Cricetulus griseus: one gene and its partners. The protein of the gene in region 3 purifies or fractionates together with the protein of the main gene of each other region. This does not show direct contact. Links are inferred from orthologs where the notes say so. Each region holds a gene or a part of one and is shown on either strand. Other genes may lie near its edges. The genes, in order: Snx30, Snx7 and Snx4.

What was found.
Region 1: the proteins of Snx4 (region 3) and Snx30 purify together in Homo sapiens (co-immunoprecipitation; 4 studies listed by BioGRID and IntAct, counting the BioPlex papers as one, with this or other methods). This does not show direct contact. The link is inferred for Cricetulus griseus from reciprocal best matches to the Homo sapiens genes SNX4 and SNX30.
Region 2: the proteins of Snx4 (region 3) and Snx7 purify together in Homo sapiens (affinity purification with mass spectrometry; 3 studies listed by BioGRID and IntAct, counting the BioPlex papers as one, with this or other methods). This does not show direct contact. The link is inferred for Cricetulus griseus from reciprocal best matches to the Homo sapiens genes SNX4 and SNX7.

Annotation. Positions count from the first base shown.
Region 1 is NC_048595.1:83,864,052-83,867,698, forward strand, and holds part of Snx30 (sorting nexin-30), read right to left. Parts: intron 1,805-3,647; coding exon 1,609-1,804; intron 366-1,608; coding exon 166-365; intron 1-165. UniProt on the Homo sapiens protein: Involved in the regulation of endocytosis and in several stages of intracellular trafficking. Together with SNX4, involved in autophagosome assembly.
Region 2 is NW_023276806.1:40,435,350-40,439,578, reverse strand, and holds the start of Snx7 (sorting nexin-7), read right to left. Parts: upstream 2,886-4,229; 5' UTR 2,843-2,885; coding exon 2,681-2,842; intron 1-2,680. UniProt on the Homo sapiens protein: Involved in the regulation of endocytosis and in several stages of intracellular trafficking. Together with SNX4, involved in autophagosome assembly by regulating trafficking and recycling of phospholipid scramblase ATG9A.
Region 3 is NC_048597.1:56,292,478-56,296,124, forward strand, and holds part of Snx4 (sorting nexin-4), read right to left. Parts: intron 2,488-3,647; coding exon 2,352-2,487; intron 342-2,351; coding exon 192-341; intron 1-191. UniProt on the Homo sapiens protein: Involved in the regulation of endocytosis and in several stages of intracellular trafficking. Plays a role in recycling endocytosed transferrin receptor and prevent its degradation.

The DNA of each region.
Region 1 (3,647 bases), on a different chromosome or scaffold from region 3:
ACACTGATAGTAAATTTCCTCTGATCTTTTCTTCCACTTATTTCACACCCTTTGTTCTGATTATATGTCTGTAGTATCAGTTTTCCCAACTACAGAGAAGGGACAAGTACCACATTCGACAATTAAGAGCTTTTTGATGAGTGTGCAAAAAGCAAGCCAGCTTACCTTCATGGAGTCAGAGTACAGAATGTATTCCCTGAGCACTGGTAGAAACTCCTCTGTTATATCATCTGTCAGTTCTTCCAAGGCTGTGGAGCAGTTCCCAATGCAGGCTGACACACCTTCCAGTGGCTCTGCTAGCTCGCCTTCCAAGGCGCTCCATGTGGAATACACAGGCCCATATTCCCTCAGCTCTACGAGGTACTCTATAAAAAGAGAAGCCACTTGGAATCTGACTGGGGAGCTCTCACTCTATGATTGATTTAGGAATCTACAGCCCTGGCTATTCTCTTTCCTGGGCATACCCTCCCCCCCCCCAAAAGCTACTGTAAGTCACATCCGAATATCTAGGATTCTTGTTAATAGGAATCAAAACTCCTTTAGGGGAAAATAGCTAAGAGCCAAACCCAGAGAACTTCTTTGGGTGAATAATCACCCCTACCCATGCTGCAAGTGCAACCTTTTACAACACAATGGGGGGGGAATATGACTTTCATATGGGTTCAGAGGGCCTTGCACCCCTGGAACTGGAGTTATAGATGGTTGTGAGTTATAGATGGTGTGATGCTAGGCACTGAATCCAGTCCCTCTGGTCTTAACCTGAGTCATGTCTCTAGTACTCGGCAGGGTGATCTTTAAAAAAAAAAATCAATCACAATGGAAAAATGACAGGATTACAGGGAACACCTCACTGAAAGAGATGTGGTCTTATATAGACAGACTCAGTCCCACACCCAATGGTCCTATCAGTGGTTGCAGGGAATAAGAAAATAATTATTTCTTCACTCCTACAGGGTTAATAAGGCCCTTCATTTGTCACCAGGATTCTTGCCATTTTTGACAGAATATGGTTGCCCTTATTTAACTATTAGGAAATGGCAGTAACTGACATGTTTTAAAAGTCCTGTGTGACAGATGCCTTGGCATGATAATCACATTGTTCGGGTGTGTTTGACCTATACCTGTGTAAGGGGACAAAGTGCCCACTGTTACTGGGATGTGGCTAATCAGGTGACCATGGCAGGAGAAGGGTAGACAGGCAGTGGCTGTGATAAGGACAGACAGACCTGGGTCTGAGCAACTCCCCAGCTCAGAAGAGGGAATAAAGTGAAGCAGGCAGGGTAAAGGGCAAAAGCTCACTGGGATGTAACCTTGGCAAACACGGCCCCCACACTTCTCTTTTGAACCATCTCTCTGCTAAGTTTATTTCTGTAATCAGCAGCCCTGTGGATGGAGGCCATGAGGAAATCACCATGCTCAGTGCGGACAAAGGACTGAGTGCAAAATTACATTCTAGTCACAACCAGCTCATCCCGCTCTGTGTTTGGTTTTTAGGCAGAACTAGGCCTGGTGATGTCACTGTGACATTTCTGCAGGTTGCTTCAGTCTGGCATATATGACCGCCATTGCTGCCACGCTGGGCACTGTCAGTCTCAACAAAGAACTCACCTATTTCTTCTTTGATGATCCGCTGGGCTATCCGATCAATGGTTCCCAGCTTGAGTGCAAAAGTGTCTAAGTAGTCACCAATGGCTGCAAACTCCAGAGGCCGACTCCTCAGCTTATAGCCTCCCGTGACATGCTTGACCGACTCACCCACTCTGGTCAGCAGTGCTATCCCCTGCTTCTTGTAGGCATTCAGGTCCTGTAGATGACAAGGCACCATTCTGGTCACATAGCCAGGGCTAAGGAAACCAGTTTCTGAAGCCTGTGTCTCATTGGAAATGGACAAACTGGAAAGCAGGAGCTATTAGGACCACATACACATCACAGTCCCATTATGGTGGGAACTCTTTCTGTAGGAAGACCAAACAAACCTCTATCTACCCTTATAAGGCAAACCAAAGTACAAGTCCAAAGTCCAAATTGAGGCGCCATAACTTTACTGAGTTTACTTACAGAGTACAGGTTAGGGGTTACTTACAGGAGCAAGGAGCCACACCACAAGAAAATCTCACCCCAGCATAGATGACAACATCCCCATGGCTGCAAATATGGATACCCTCCCACAACTAAACTTCTAGAGTCTATACACACTAGCATCTCCCAAGACCATGGGCCACGTGCAATCAGGAAGAATCATATACAGCTGGCTGTTAAGTGAAAAGAGGGAGTGGCTGGGATCGAGTGAGGGTCCAATGAAGTCTCCCCCACACCCCCGTGGTGGTATCTTACTTATACAAATAAAGCCTGTCTGAAGATCAGAGGATGGAGCTTAGCTAACCATAGAGGTCTGAAGGTCTGAACAGACAGACAGGAAGTGAGATGGCTGGGCAGAGAGAGGAAGTGAGATGGCTGCGCAGAGAGAGGCTATAAGCGGGAAGAAACAGGAACTCACTCATTTCCACTGGGAAGCTACTGAGGTAAAGGTGGCTTTGGCTTGCTCCTTCTTCTCTCTGATCTCTCGGCATTTTCCTCTGCATCTGACTCAGGGTTTTTATTATTTAGACCTATTAACAACTCCATTTACACCCCTACCACACACAAGCCTATCCTTCTTTGATGGAACCTCAATAGTCACCAGGCCCCACTCCTGAGGCTGCTGTGACAAGTTGATGGCTGCTCTACTTGAAGAACAGCATCCACAACAGACCCCCAGACTCACATCCATATGCCCCTGTCCAGATTCCCTGTCAACAGGACTGGGCCCTCCACCCTCCAGTCAATTCTACTCCCTGTCTTTAAATGCAACAGTTTTTCTAACACAATTTTAAAACCTCTGGCAAAAATGCCCTGTGCTGTCTTAGCACAAAATTAAATATCTAAAGATTCATTCCATTCACTCACTCAACCTCAACTAGAGTCATACAAGGAAAGCAGAGGGTGGAGGGTAGAGTTTTGAAAAGAAACAACAGAATCACTGCTAGAAAATTCAGGTGAACTACTATCACTGTAAACATATTTTAAACTCTGAATTTCCTGTGGGTCAAGGCAAAAGTGGAAAATGGGTTGAGCCTTTAAACCTCGTGTATCCAAATTTAAAAAGTTACAGTGTGCAGCATAGTGGCGGATACCTTTGGTTCCATTACTCAAGCGGCAGAGGCAGGTGGATCTCTGTGAGTTCAAGGCCAGCTTAGTCTATACAGTAAGAGCCTGTTCTCCAAACCAACCAACCAAACAAACAGCTCTTAGAGCTGGGCTGGTGGCACATGCCCATGATTCATTCTAGCACTGGGGAATTGAAGCTAGCATGGGCTACAAAGTGAGGTCCTATCATGGTCACTGTTCCATTGCTGTGAAGAGACACTATGACCAAGGCAACTCTTATAAAAGAAGGCATTTATTTGGAGCTTGCTTACAATTTCTGAGGTTCAGTCCATTGTTATCGTAGCAGGGAACATACAAGGTGCTAGAGAAGTAGCTGAGATCTACATCCTGATCCACTGGCAGAGAGAGGGAGGCAAGGAGGGAGGGGAAGGGAGGGGAGGGGAGGGAGGGGAGGGGAGAGGGTGGGGAGGGGAGAGGGTGGGGAGGGGAGAGGGTGGGGA
Region 2 (4,229 bases), on a different chromosome or scaffold from region 3:
GTAAACATGAATACACAGACAACACTCACATATAACATGGGTCTATGTATACAAAAGAAAGTAGAGAATTGGCCTCTTTTCTTTTTGCTAACATTACTCTTTCATCTCCTTGTGGCCAAGTGCTAAGACAATTTTTACAGGATTGCTGTCATTTGTGTATTTTTCTTCTTACTTTGTCTCATTGTGTTGTTGGTTGTGTTCTCTGATCTCTTTTCCAACACCTGTAGTTACTTTTTAAAATCAATACCTGCTGTGTTTTCAATGTTTTTTTTTTCAAAGTTGGCATCAATTATTCCTTGGTAAAATTTTCAAAACTCAATGGTCCCCACTTTGTTTTTCTTTCCATTCCTGCTGGTGTATGTTGCCACTTAGTGTTTGTCCTATCTTGCCATCTAAGCTTCAAGACTATGATAGGAAGAAAGAGATATTGCATGTTTTTCCTAAGAGGAGGAAAAACATGTTTTTCTGGAAGAAAATGTTTTAGTCAGTCAAAGTTATTCTTTTGTTGATTCAGAAAGGGACATCAGCTATACATTCACAATCTAAGGAGAAATGTTAGCCATCTTATAAAAGTAAAGGGCACTGAAAGTTGGCCTCACAAGTCCTGGACAGACCCCATTCTGGAGTAGGCGGGACAGTAGTAGAGCTCCAAAGAGAGGCTGAAGAGGAATGTTGGAAAGAATGAGGCCAGAGGAGACTTTCATGATTTTTCTTGTCTAATTGTGGTTAATGGTTGAAAGTTGGAATGAGCATGGAACTAAATGTTTTTTCAGGATGGTACTTTCTTTAGACTTTAACCATATTACCCACTTACTTTTCAACTTCTAAGGGCATAATTCTTAACTTTCTCTAGGCAGCAAATTCATGAAGTGATATAGCAGCAAGTAGTATAGGTGTGGGTGAACAGGCATGAAACACACAATTCCAGCTAACCCATGCTTTTTAAAAGAATACAGAGCCACAAGGACAACATTGTGAGTAGGGTAGGACTCCCAGTAATAACATTTAAAAAGAAATCCCAGCAGATGAATGGAATCCCTTACTCTGATAGTGCTTTAGGAAATTGGGAAGGGATGCCCATTCACAGGGCTTCTGGCTGCAACCTGTCATTTTCTTCTCACCTAGAACACCTGTAATTCCATCAATCCCCAACATTCCCATAGACCCAAGCAAATGAACTCCGTATCAGACCACAGTGACTCACTGAGACAGGGATTCTCAAGGGAGGCTTATGGGGCAGAATCTAGGGGAAAAGGCTACCTGGAAAGTTTTCAGCAATTCCAGATGATTTTGATATACAACCGCCAATCTTGACACCACTCCCTCTATTCTGGAAGTTCCACACTGACCTGAACAAAGTATGTGTGTAATGAGGGTGGGAGTGCAGTATTGGGCCATTGGATGGCTCAGTACAGAGAGTTACTTGCTGCAGGGCCTCGTGACCTGTTTTCAATCCCCCAGAGCCCACATGGAATAAGGAGAGGGCAGAATGCAGGCAGTGGTTTGACTGCCACCTGTACACCAGGGCGCAAGCACATCACACACACACACACACACACACACACACACACACACACACACACACACACACACACACACACGTTTTTAAAGCAGTATTGAAACTAAGCATCAAACAATTCGAATTTTAGAATTTAAATAAATAGGAAGGCTAAGCACACGGAACTGTGATACAAAGTCAACCGAGAATGCAACTGGGTGAACCGCCTAGGCTCTAACGAGTTCAAATGAAGTTTGTGAGTTCCGTGCTGCGAGTCCAAGTGTGCTGGTTATTTGCTAACTTCTGTTTGACAGTTAAGAGGTGGGCCGTTTTAACATCTCTGGGTATTATTGCACACTGCCTTGGTCATTGAAACAATGTTCCCACTGAGTTCAAGGCTTCCATTAGTGGCACCTTTGAGAAACTACTGTTACACTGGATTGTGCCACAAGAAAGGTATTTCTGTTTCAAACTTTCAGAAAGTTCAAGTTTCAGGCCACAGGCACCCAAGTCAACCACTAATGCCCAAAAGTCCATTTCTCTCCAATTATAACTCTAGCCAGGGAGCGCCTCTGAGGCTAGATATCCAAGCAAATGGGAAGGAAATACGTAGGCTACAGTTAGGGTTTGGACCTCAGTTTACTGCCCCCCCCAAAATAACAACAAGAAAAAAACAAAAACAAACAAACAAACAAAAAAACAAAAAAACACGCCTCTTCAGCTCTGCCAGGAGTGCAGACCAGGCTTTCTCCTGCTGAAAAGATTTCTGCACCCAATGGTCACAGGATTCCAGATCCTCCTAGGGTGGGACCCAACTCTCCCATTCACACTTAACAACAGTAAACCCAAATCACTCCCCTGCAGTAAAGCAATCACTCTCCTAGACTTCAGGAGAGAAGCCTGGAGGAGGAGCAGTTTCAGGCCACCCGCCCATGCATGATGGGATGTCCCTATCAAGGAAGGGAAAATGGAAAGAGTAAGGGGGTAAAAATATCAGAACTTTTAAGACTCCATAAGCCTTGGTTCTGCCTCTGAGAAGGTCAAAGTGCGGAGGAGGGAGCGGCTGGTTCTGGATGTGTGCACCGTCTCCAGCTCCGGATCCGTCGGGGAGTTGAGTCACCCTGGAACTTTCCCTGGACGCGCCGCCCCTGCCACGGCCGCGGCTATGTTCCCTGCCCTCACCTTACTGAACACTTCCAAATCGTCCTCGTCCTCGTCCAGATCCAGCACGTCGGCCTGCATGAGGCTGCAGGAACCACTGCCACCCGGGATCGGGGCGCCGCCCCGCGGGCTCTCACCGACCGCCAGCTCCGAGGAACCCGACGCCAGGCGCTCGCCGTCCATCCCGGCAGTGCGAGCCCCGCCGGCCGCCGCAGCCAGCCCGGCTCCCCCCTGCGCGCCCATTGGCTCCCGCGGCGCCCTGCACCTCCCCGGCCGGCCCAGCTCCTGCCCCTCGGCCGTGCGCAGACGCGGAACTGCGGGAGACCGCGGCTCAGAGCCAGGGCGGGCAGGCAGAGGGGATTGCTCATCCCCGACCTGGCCCCAGGTTTCTGCCAAGATTGAGATCTGGAAGCTAGGAACCCTCGCCAGAGTGGGCAGAGGAGACTCTGAGGACAGGAGGTGGCATTCTCTCTCTGACACGGTTAAGAGACACCAGATTTGTGAGTGAGGTGGCAGGATCTGGAAGCACGACCAGCTGACCCAGCTTTATTTCCAGTGTTTAAAAGTGCTTTTATTCCTGGTTTGTTTGTTTGTTTGTTTGTTTTTCCCCATCCGAGTCTGTCTTTATAAAGATCAATGCCAAAATTAAAGACACTACAACCTCCTGGGTTTTGATTGATTTTTTTTTTTTTTTGACTCAGTGATTGGACTTGTGGTCATTTTACTGTCAAACCAAGGAAGCTGAGACTGAAAAATTATTTTCAGCTACTTTCTAATGTAGCTTTCTCCTAGAAGTCTTCCTGAAGTTAATGTGCAAGAATGTTTCCAAGCGCCAAGGACAGCCAGCAGGCCTAGGTATTGCAAAGAGAAAGAAACAAATCCTGCATGTTTTTTTCATACTGCTAGTGCAAAGCTGAAACTAGCTGTTTGTTCATTGCTTTTCATTGCTTATTTTTATAGATCCAAAAATTAATTAAAAATTGAATGCAAACTGATATATGTTAGAACTAGCTTCAATTTTTATTATTTATTCATCTCAACCTCAGCTTTTTTCTCCTTTCTCTAAAATTTTCAAGTAAATGAAGATTCATGTAAGAGCCAGGTCTGGTCGTGTAATGCCTGGGATTTTAGCACAGGGTAGGCTGAGGCAAGAGGAAAGACCTCTGGTTTGAGGCCAGCTGATTTTTTTTATTTATATTTAATTTTTACTAGTTCAAATTAGGAACAAGCTTGCTTCACAAGTCAATCCCGTCTCCCTCTCCCTTCCCTCACCCCAACCCCCCATCAACTCCCCATCCCATGCCCCCTTCGCTCCCCAGGGAGGGTAGGGCCCTCCATGGGGGCATCCCAAAGTCCACCACATCATCCTGGGCCTGACCCGAGCCCTCCCCCATGTTTCCGGGAGAGAGGGCATCCCGTCATGTGGGACGGGCTCTCAAAGTCCCTTCTTACACCAGGGAAAAATACTGATCCACTACTAGGGGGCCCATAGAGTGCTGAAGCCTCCTGTTGACATCTGTGTTCAGCAGGAGGCCAGCTGATTTTAACACAGGGAAAAACAGGTTGAAAA
Region 3 (3,647 bases):
AAAAAAAAAAAAAAAAAAAAAAAACTCAGCTAATGACAGATTCCAGTAGTCCCAAATTCAAACTAGCCAAGCACAATAAACTGCCTACCAAAAGCTAATTCAAATGAGTCTCAAGAATCAGCATTTCATAATTTTTTAAAAGCCGAATTCAAATGAATATTTTTTTTAAAGACGAATTAAAAGAAAAATACCTGTGTTAAAAACAAATAGAAGATTTTGTCTCTACAAAGGACAGGATGTGAGGCAACCCTCAAGAGAAAGTTTTCTAAGCCTATCCGTCGTCTCTCCACAAAGTCTGGATCCATGTTGTCAGCAGAGAGTTTATGCCACACGAACTCTGCCTGGGTAAACAAAGCAACCATTAGGAACAGGCTCAATCACAGGTAAGTATAGCTCTTACCCTCTGTCTTAGCCTGGATTACCACCGCTGTGACAAAACGCCATGGGTGGTCACAGTAACTGGGATGGAAGGGTCTGTTTGGCTTACACCCCCAAATCACTGCTCCCCATCAAAGGAAGTCGGAACAGGGACCTCAAACATGGCAGGAACCTGGGGGCAAAAGTTGATACAGAGGCCATGGAGGGGTGCTGCTTACTAGCTTGCTAAGCTTTCTTTTTTTTTCGAGACAGGGTTTCTCTGTATTGCTGTCCTGGAACTCGATTGGTAGACCAGGCTGGCCTTGAACTCACAGAGATTTGCCTGCCTCTGTCCCCCTCCCCCCCCTGTGCGCCCCCCCCCTCCCCCGCCCCAGTGCTGGGATTAAAGGCTTGCACCACCATGGCTGCCTGGCTCAGCCTGCTTTTTTTTGTTTGTTTGTTAGGTTTTGGTTTTTAACACAGGGTTTCTCTGTGTAGCTTTGGAGCTTGTCCTGGATGTTTTTGGTTTTTCGAGGCAGGATTTCTCTGTGTAGCTTTGGAGCCTATCCTGGCACTTGCTCTGTAGACCAGGCTGACCTTGAACTCAAGAGATTCACCGGCCTCTGCCTTCCAAGTGCTGGGATTAAAGGCATGAGCCACCAAAGCCTGGCCTCAACCTGCTTTCTTAAAGAAACCCAGGACCAGCAGCCCAGGGACAACACCACCCACAATGGGTTGGGTCCTTCCATCTCAATCCCGTATCAATCGATAATTAAGAAAATGTCCAACAGGCTTGTGTGAGTAGAACTCAATTTTCCCAACTGAGACTCCCTCCTCTCAGATGACTCTGGCTTATGTCGAGTTGATATTAAACTATGCAGCACACACTCATAAAAGAAACTTCTTGCTGGGGCATTGGTGGCTCACGCCTTTAATCCCAGCACTCGGGAGGCAGAGGCAGGGAGATCTCTGTGAGTTTGAGGCTAGCCTAGAGCGAGTTCCAGCACAGCCTCCAAAACCACAGAGAAACCCTGTCTCAGAAAACAAAACAAAACAAAACAACAAAAAAGAAAAGAAAAGAAACTTCTCTTTACAAGAGGTTAACCACAATTGATCAAAAAGCAGAGAGCAAGTGATCCTGTAGTGCCCAGCCCTGACTGATGAATCTACACACATCTCTTGCACCTAAGGCTCAGGGAATATCTTGTGGAGCGGTGGAAAGACTGTGACAGCCAGAGGACCAGGAAGTCTGCTGTGAGATTACACCTCCTGAAAATGACAGGGAAACTACACCTATAAATATGGCTGCCTAAACGAGACCTGCACAAGGACATCACTAATACACATGCTAGCATGGAATGAGGACAGCTTTTTGTTGTTTTCAAAAAACATTTATTCTTTTATTTTTTTAAATTGTTGTTTTTCCTTTCTTTCTTTCTTTCTTTCTTTCTTTCTTTCTTTCTTTCTTTTTTGAGACAGGGTTTCTCTGTAGTCTTGGCTGCTGTCCTGGAACTCACTGTATAGATCATGCTGGCTTCAAACCCACAGAGATCCACCTGCCTCTACCTCCAGAGTGCTGGGATTAAAGGAGAGCGCCACCACTGCTCGGCTAGAAGGGGGACATCTTATGGGCAGCTAATGAATGCTGAAAGTGGGAGACATTGTTCTTCCCACGGAAGAGCTACCAAGTGGTCAACCCTGAAATCATATACATACAAGTAACATTATACAGATCCAGCAAGTTGCATCTATATATTTAGGAGAAAGAAAAAAATATATATATATACACACATACATATATAGACACACATGTGGGAGGCAGAGGCAGGTGTTTCTCTAAGTTTGAGGCCAGCCTGGGCTACACAACAAGTTCCAGGATAGTCAGGGCTACTACACAGAGAAAACCTGTCTCGAAAAGCAAAAAGAAAAAGGAAAACAAATAAATTAATGGGCTCAATTCCAGGTAGTTCTCAATTCCTACTGCTCTATCTTACCCGCTTTTCTGGAAGAGGTGGTACAACAACATGGGGGTAGTAAACTAAAAGGTAGTTTCTCAACAACTCGAACTCACTGTACCGCCTCCAAAGTGAGTCTGTGAGGACACTCTGACCGTCAGCATGTTCAACTGACCTGAAAAGGAATCAAAGAGCATTTCTATTCAAAACAGAACACATAAAACCACCTCCTTCAAAACCGTATAACCCTGGGAAGCAGATTCCCTGTGCCCGTTTTTACAGATGGGGATATAGCTGTGCTCTACCTACAAAATACACACTGTGTGTTGTGCACTCAGATCCATCGGAGTCCAAAGCTCTCACCTGGGTACTTTCCTTCTGTTATAGAAAACCCATCTGAACTCATAAGAAGTCACTATATTAGAAACATTCTAGCTGGAGAGATGGCTCAGTGGTTAAGAGCATTGGCTCCTCTTCCAGAAGTTCTGAGTTCAATTTCCAGCAACCACACAGTGGCTCACAACCATCTATAGTGAGATCTGGTGCCCTCTTCTGGCCTGCAGGTATACATGCAGACAGAACACTACAAATAAATAAATGTAGGAAGGAAGGAAGGAAGGAAGGAAGGAAGGAAGGAAGGAAGGAAGGAAGGAAGGAAGGAAGGAAGGAAGGAAGAAGAAACATTCTAAAAGCCTCAGCATTGAACTGGTTTTACAATATTCATTACATAAAAGGTAACTTTAATAGTGCCACAATGAGGGAACAATTTCATGACAAAGACCAAGATACCAGAAAGCCTGAGTTGAGGGTATGGGTCAATCAGATGGATCTGAGTACCAGGAGATCCACAAGAGCAAACTCAGTCATCTCTGAAGGGCAAGGAAGACAGCTTACAACTCATGTCTCATTTTTTCCTTTTCAGAGCTATCAGGCTCTCACATTTTATCTAAACTGCAGCTGGGAGGAAGCTAGGGAAAGAACATGTGAAGACTCAAGATTCCTGCTGCTATCATGAACAAAGGTTTTGATTTTTGGTTTCTGATTTTCTTACTATGCAGTTCTAACTGGCCTGGACTTGGTGTATAGACCAGCCTGCCCTGGAACTACAGGGATCCACCTGCTTCAGCCTCCTGAGTTCAAAGATTAAAGGAGTGTGCCACCATGCCCAACGGCAGAAAAATGTGAAACATTATCAAGACCTCCTTATTTCCAATTATTCGCTTGACAACAACTTCTTTGCCCTCTAAGAAACGCACACACAACCACAACCATCAGGACGCAGTAACAGAGAAGCTAAATCAGTCTTGATTAGTCAGTCATTAGAGAAGTGCTTCT